2 linked regions of the Drosophila melanogaster genome follow. The protein of the gene in region 1 interacts with the protein of each later gene in a pairwise test. Each region holds a gene or a part of one and is shown in the gene's direction. Other genes may lie near its edges. The genes, in order: CG18540 and CG31326.

What was found.
Region 2: the proteins of CG18540 (region 1) and CG31326 interact in a two-hybrid assay, tested with the Drosophila melanogaster proteins (one large-scale study listed by BioGRID).

The regions. Positions count from the first base shown.
Region 1 is NT_033778.4:18,297,418-18,300,634, forward strand, and holds CG18540 (uncharacterized protein), read left to right. Parts: upstream 1-1,899; 5' UTR 1,900-1,915; coding exon 1,916-1,990; intron 1,991-2,058; coding exon 2,059-2,211; intron 2,212-2,272; coding exon 2,273-2,617; 3' UTR 2,618-2,655; downstream 2,656-3,217. Other genes in the region: CG18538 (uncharacterized protein), read left to right, coding at 1-334; CG18539 (uncharacterized protein), read left to right, coding at 783-848, 907-1,059, 1,126-1,464.
Region 2 is NT_033777.3:14,217,440-14,222,099, reverse strand, and holds CG31326 (uncharacterized protein), read left to right. Parts: upstream 1-1,894; 5' UTR 1,895-1,905; coding exon 1,906-2,115; intron 2,116-2,305; coding exon 2,306-2,471; intron 2,472-2,528; coding exon 2,529-3,297; intron 3,298-3,359; coding exon 3,360-3,777; 3' UTR 3,778-3,964; downstream 3,965-4,660. Other genes in the region: CG33109 (uncharacterized protein), read left to right, coding at 521-1,411; CG9649 (uncharacterized protein), read left to right, coding at 4,358-4,570.

The DNA.
Region 1 (3,217 bases):
TGTCCTTCGAAGCTCGACGGGAGATGTCAGCGACTACAAGCTGCTTCCTTGGGCCATTCCCAAGCAATCGCTATACGAACATCTGAACACCTATTACAAGGATGTTTCGATGAAGAACTTTAAGCACTGTTCCAATATTCCGCAATTCGAGGGTAAATTCCAACCGCCATTGCCAAAGCAGACCTATTTTGGCAACAAATGCGTGATCGATGGCGATGGGTTGCCAGAAATTGTTCCTGCCGGTTTTTATCTGATTGTGATCAAATGCTATGGACCAGGTCAACCCACATGGAACACTACGTCAGTTTTTAAAATCACACCCAAATTAATGTAAAAACCATTATCTTAGATAAACACATTTTTTTTTTAACTGCGCTTATGTTTAATAAAATCAATGGTAAAAATTTGAAATATTTTAGCTGTTTCGATAAGAAATGAGTGTCCTTGAAGGAGGTAAGAAATATTCAAGAAAAATTCAAGATCAGTAACAATTACTAGTGGAAGAGAATTTTCAGTTATTGTGTAAAAAAATTCACATTTCTCAAATACTTAATATACATTTGTAAGTTTGCTCAATTGTAGCTAAAGACCAACCAATAAACAAAATTCATATTTAATATTCAAAGTCCACACATTTTTTCATGTTTTTGGCATGCAGTCTTGTTTGACATGGTTAGCCCAAAATGTAACAGGGAGTTATATAATTAATACATGCAATCCACTGCAGTTTGCTATATAAATGCAACTAAATTGCAAGTTGATGAAGTTTAAAGTCTGGCTAAATGATTTCGTGTTGTTCGTTGCTATTTTTGCTCGCTACGCTGCTGATCGATGGCTGCAAAGCAGGAGTATGCCAGGATATTCTAACAAAATAGGATACTTATAATTTCTGTGCTCATTCCACAGCGTAACTGGGAGTATGAGCCCTTATCATTGACATCCTATAGCTCAGATGAGAGTCTCTTGAAGATCACCACAAAAATTGATCGACTTGGGCGCAGCGATTATGCATTTTCCATGACACTGGACTGGAACTACGATGTGGATAAGGACACTATGGTTGAGATATTGATTTTAATATCAAGTTTCTATTAATTAAGAAAATGGTTATTAATCGCTGGACAGGTGGAGGCAGACGTTCATCACTGCTCATCGGGTGACGAAGACGATTACAAAATGATGCCCTGGTCCATTCCTAAACAGCCATTTTTCGAATATCTAAACGGTTTCTACAAGGACGCGTTCATCAAGAATGTGGGCCATTGCTCCAATATGGTGCAGTTCGATGGCGATTTTGTGCCACCATGGCCACGAAATGTTTACAAGTTGGACAAATGTGTGGCCAGTGGCGAGGGACTGCCAGATATTGCACCAGAGGGTTTCTACAAGCTAGAGTATAAAATGACAGGACAGGTGGATTGGGGTTTCACCCTGATTGTTAAGGTCTCGCCAAAGGTTATTTAATATTATATTATATGCGGCTCTTAAGAAGTTCAAACATTTTTTTTTCTACTTAACAAATTGTACTATGTTGTGTAAAATGAATTTATATTAAATTGTATTAAATTAATATTTATAAAATTTATATTTTTGTATTTTATTTACAACGAATTTATCGTCTACATTATCAACTTCTGCATATCCAAATATGAAAGAAAATTTTTTTAGCCAATGCAAGCATGACTTGCGCGTTGTGTATTTGTGTAATTTGCTAAATTTGGATGGGTGATACCGTGACGATCAGTAAATTTAGATAAGCTTGACATGATTTACACCTATTCCAACTTCAATAATCTAACAATGTGCACAATTGTACACAATGTTTTCGTGTCACAAATGTTTTTAAAAGATAAATCTAAATTGACAGACTATAAAAGCAAGTAGGTTGCAACTTATATTGTCAATTTAACCAGAAATGATTTCGTTTTGCATTTCATCGCTTTTATCAGTGTGTATTTTTGCAAACCTTTACAATGGTTGTGCGGCAAAGGTATGCTAAGAAAGAAATATTCCTAAATATTTCTTTATTTTTTTTTAAATATGGTTTATTGTTTCCAGCCCAACTGGGAGGCAACGCCATTGTCGATTGGTGGCACCACCACAAATCCCAGTGCCATGGACATGAATCTGCGAATTGAGCGCATTTCAAGGTCGGAATTCGGGTTTTCAGGCACATTCTTCTGGAATATTGATGTGGACGATAGCGTGATGGTAATTTCTGTACCAAATATCATTGATTCAAAAGCACTTAAAAATCAAATACTGCTTTTAGGTCGAGATGCGTATTCTGAGCAGTTACTCCGGTGACGAGTCCGATTACAAACTGACTCCCATGTCCATTCAACCGCAGAAATTCACCGAATATGTCAATACCTTTTACAAGGACCTGTTGTTGCCGAATCTGGGCAATTGCACCGATTTGCCCGTCTATGAAAATGAATTTGTACCACCCTGGCCCAAGGCGACCTACAATTTCACCCGCTGCGCTCTGAACGGCCAAGGATTGCCGGATATTTTGGCAGATGGCTTCTATAAAGGCGAAGCCGTCATCACCGCCCAGCCAAATCTTGAAGTCACCGTGTCCGTCGTTCTGCGGATCAGAACGAAAATGTTCTAAATATTCGAGCATTAAATCGCAGAACATCTTCTCACTCTATTGCCAACTGTTTTTGCTGTTGGGCATTTCCGAGGTGTGGGCCGAAATTCCAGCTGCGACGAGAGGATCGTCATAAAATCCGACCGACTCGGGGGCCAATAAATGAACCGGGCCAGGTAAAAATCGCTTTTAGCCAGCTGAAGTTGGGAGGACGGAAAGGCAGGCAGGCAGGCAGTTCGAGTGTGAAATTGGCAAGACATGTTTGGAAACTGTTGTGGTAAGAAAAGGAGTGTGGTAGTTGGCGGGATAGAGAGTAACTTCGAACAAAAATTGCACCAAGTGTCGCTAGCACTGAGAAAAAGGGTTTTTGCCAAAGAAAATTATGCTCATATAAATGAAAATAGCTGAAAGTATTAACTAACAAGTGTGCAAACCATAAGGTTGTAAAACTGCTCTAACAAGACATTCTTAAAGCAAAGAAAGTCTCTCATTTTTTTTCCTGTTTACTTTCCCCTCATTTCGCTCCCCCCTTGAAAATGCAATTCGTGTTGCATTTCAAGTGAAAACTCTGCACAGTTGCCTCGGCTAATTTATTGCAAATTGTTAAAAGCTACAACGACG
Region 2 (4,660 bases), on another chromosome or scaffold:
AATTAAAAACTTTAATGCCAAAAGATATTTAGATGTTTCACTGTCTGGTGATTTTCGGCAAAACGAGTTTGCGCCTCCCATCTTTCACTTATTTTATTGGCAATGATGGATGATTGAAAGGCAAAAAAAAGTACAGATAGGTTGCTACGTGCTGACAATAAAATGTTTGTAAAAAAATAACTTTAATTGTTGAGATGTACTTCATTAATAGTTCATCTATTTTAGGATTTAGCAGCGGCCACTTTTTTTTTTTATTGGTAGAACCGATTGATTGTTCTGGCTAAAAGACACAACTGACTTTTTCGCTAACTTTCTTTAGCTAATATCTTACAAATTAATGGCCATGTGTATTGCATGTATGACATAAAAGTAAACATATATGCCCACGTATTGACTGCTAAATGATTGGCATCGGCTGAGCAAATGTTTGGGAAGCGTGCTGCACATTTAAGTACCCAATGTAATTGGCTATAAAAGGCCTGCAGTACGATATATAGACTCTTAGAGGCCTGGTATAAAGATGAAGTGCAGCGGCTTTCTAATCCTCCTGGTGGTCCAGTTTGCCTGGAATGACAGCGTTCTGGCAATAGAAACTGCTTTTGATATCTGGAATAAATTTGGAGATGGTGGAGCTCTGCCCAATGATCCAGAAAGGCTAAACGAAAAAGGTATTTCGGTTCTAAGTCCAACTAACGACCTGCAAAACAAGAACGAAGGAACGATAACGCAATTGAGGAATCTTCTTGACAATTATGTGGCAAAATTATTATCCGATTTGCCCAATACTCGGAAAAAGAAAAGGAGACAAGGCCTGCAGGAATCTCTGCAAGCTCTAACTGGTCTAGGTTTGAGCATATCTCCATTGCTAAAATTCCTAACGAACATCAAGGCAGAGGAGGAGCAACTTGTCTCGAAACTTAATGTCCAGGAGGAATGGAAGTTCTGGGCTGCCGCAAAGGTGTCGAAAGTTCAGGAGTCGACTAAAGGTCTTAGAACCGCGGAGGCTGTTTCCATCACTGAAAACTTCAACAGTCGTTACGGCCTTCGATTGCGTAGTTGTGTTGGTCTGTTTATCTGGAATCAGATTCGGTTTAACTTGGACTTGGAAAGTTCCCTAAATGGCCTGCAAAATCCAACGGAGCACTTGATCGATGTCACTGAAGGCTGTTCCAGCGTTAAGCCAAAAAAGTGCCGGCGGAACGTCAGAAGAGCTATCGATGGCATCCAGAATGCTCCACAGAATTTGCTGAATCTGCGGACTAAGGGCAACCAGTTGGAGGACATTCAACGGCAAAGTAATCAGTGTGTGGATAAAACTGTTAAGGAATACACTGAGGAGCGGGTCGAGGTAGAAAGACAGCTAGATGATATAATCGAGGATTATCTTGAGAGTGAAACATTTACCAAATAAGTCGGGATCTATACATTTAAAATCAGATATTATTTCAATAATCACTGGCGAACATATAGCAGAGACAGCACATAATTAGGAACCTTTCGCACCAATTATTATAGAAACAAATAAATAAATATGAGATCCATTAAATATGTTTTATGATAAAGGAGCAGAAAATCAAAAATTAAATCTTTTAAATACCTACTGTGAGAAAATGTTCATTCATTGTCTTTGTGCTGTTAATAAAGTTATTTTAAGAAAAGGTAAGTAATATTAATGCATTTTTTGGCTTAATGGAGCTTAGCATGTGGAAGTGCAATTTACGCTCGAGAATTTAGCTCCAAAAACTGAATACTTAAATACCCACAAAGTGGGGAGAGCCACTGACTATTGAGAGACTTAGATCGGGTATCAATCAGTGCTCATTGAGTGAGTCTTTTGAGTTTTAATGCGAGTAATTAAAATCTCTATAAAATAGACTGGAAAAGCTCAGCTCATACGTAGTTGCAATGAGTCCGCATCAGCTGGTGACCGTTCTCCTTCTGGCTTCTCTGATTAACTTGGTTCTTGGCCAGTTGCCCCGGAATGGCTGCTCTGGGCGATTTCAATACCAGGGCTACCAGGGGCAGTACATCGGTTTGGTGGAAGTTCGTCATCCGGAGGCCAATAACCAGACACTCATCCTTCAATTCTCCCAGCAGGGATATCACGATTTCGAAGTAAGATTCAGCATTATTAACTTGGAAATTCTGAACTCATAATAAGTCGCTTCTGTTATCACTTTGCTTACTTTGCGGTTGTGCAATTTCCCATGCGGCAATGAAAATTGACATTGCAAAAATATATAAACAAGCACAATAGAATGATAGAATTATTAATCAATTAATTTTTGATATTTCTTTTTTTAAGGACTATGTGGGCAGTATCTCTCTGGTGGATGATGATGAAGTGACCCAGGAAAATCTGCGTCAGGGCTTGCCGATTAGATACCGTGTGGATTTTCCTATTCCAACAATACCGCCCAAGATCACTAGCATGCAATTGAATGGCGTACAACTTTGTAGTGGCGGTGTATGTAAGTTTTTATAGTTCAATATATTTTAAATGCAATTTATGGACGTATAATTTCTAGATCCTAAGCCAAGAACCGGCATTACGCTGCGAATCACTTGGACGCCCTCCTACATATCGGTTTTCGGCGTTAATCCCCAACCTGTGCCAACCAGACCTCGACCCGCTTGGCAAGATGAAAGTCCACAGATAGACTACAGGGAAACCAGACCCAGTCAACCCAGACTAGAGGATAGCGGAGAGTTGTTTGGAAGGAGTAATGAGTCACTGCCAGCCTTCCAAAATCCCGGATGGGGTACCGCCCCTCAGCAGGCAAATCCGAATAGAGGTATTACCTCTCAGCCGGAGATACCAAGTCCCGTCCCACAACGACCGACACCAAATCCTAGTCGATCTAATGCTCCTCAGCAGGCGGTGAGAAGCCCTGTAGATCTTGTTCCCCAGCAGAACCCTTCATCCAATGGTATTCCCTGCGGTCGGGAGAGAGCTAGTACCACTCCATTGATCTTCCAAGGGAAAAGTCTTCAGCGAGGCCAGCTCCCATGGTTGGTTGCTATTTTCGAACGACGGGAGAGCAACGGACCCGCTTTCATCTGTGGAGGAACCCTCATCTCCACATCCACGGTACTATCGGCCGCCCACTGTTTTCGTGCTCCTGGAAGGGATTTGCCCGCCTCTCGGCTGGCCGTCTCCTTGGGTCGAAATACTTTGGCCATTCACTCCGATGGAGAATTTCGCGGCGTATCCCAGCTGATTATCCACGAAAACTTCCAATTCAAACAGTTTACGGAGGCCGATTTGGCGCTGGTCCGATTGGACGAACCTGTGAGGTGAGTCTATAAATTATATAAATATATTAAATATAAAAAACTACTGCTTATACTATAATAAGGTACACGGACTACATAGTACCTATTTGCCTTTGGAGCACCAGCAACCGCATGGATTTGCCCCAGGGGCTCAAGAGCTATGTTGCCGGCTGGGGACCTGATGAGACCGGCACCGGCAACACTGAAGTATCCAAGGTTACTGACCTTAATATAGTCAGCGAAGCGAACTGCGCCCTGGAGCTGCCACATGTTCTGGTCCAGCCGAGCTCCCTGTGTGCCAAGAAAACGGGAGCGGGTCCTTGTGCCAGCGATGGTGGTGGACCATTGATGCTGCGGGAACAGGACGTTTGGGTGCTGCGGGGAGTGATCTCCGGAGGTGTGATCAACGAAAAGGAAAACACCTGTGAGCTATCCAAGCCATCCGTATTCACTGATGTGGCCAAGCACATTGAATGGGTTCGCCAAAAAATGTGGAATTGAACACAAAATGAAGATTGCGAACATGAAAAGCATGCCCCCTTCTTGAAGAGATTCCCATTGATGAATGTAAAATCACGTAATCGGAAGATCCATGTATTACTGCCTACTATTGCGTTATGGGTAATTCTAAGTGGATCCATTAATCATTGAAATAATAAAGCAAAACGGCGCATCTTGAATACACTGCAAACTTTTTTGGATCTTTTGTTTCCATGAACATTTATTTTGGTTATTTTGGTTTATAAAATCCCAATTCATGCTCTTAAGCCCCAAAAAATAATTCTGAGTCAAACATAGTATTAGTCCCCCAAAACCTTTTTTTGAAGAGTATAACTACGTCACTTATTCTGATCAGGTTGGGAGAGCCAAGCAGCTTTGTTTTGAATCGGACTATTCAGCTAGATCGGAAACTAATGCGAATTGGCTGAGCTAATACCAATCATTCATCGCGCGACTCTCAATCAGTGCGGTTTAACCTCTGATTCTCGATTGGATTAAATTCGCGTCTAGCTGAATGCTGTGCGATTGCAGTCGCATTTGTTTTCCATAAATATTTACTGTTCCGGAAAGGGTGATCGCCATGCGCCAACTGCAGTTGCTTGGTTTTCTGATCGCCATACTGCAAATCAGCTATATAAGTGCCCAAAACTTGCCATATATCCAGTGTCCGATGATATTTCGGTACCTGGAGTACGACAATCAGTTCATTGGACACTTGCAGCTAACCCTGGATAGTACAAATACGGAGAACGTTGTGCGCGTTGAACTTTCCCAGCGTGGCAGAAACACCCCGGTAAGTTTTCCCAATTGTCAACTCTTTTATAAAGTTTAGTCTTTGGTTACTATAGTGTTATCAAGCATTGACCTCGCTCTCAGATTGGAT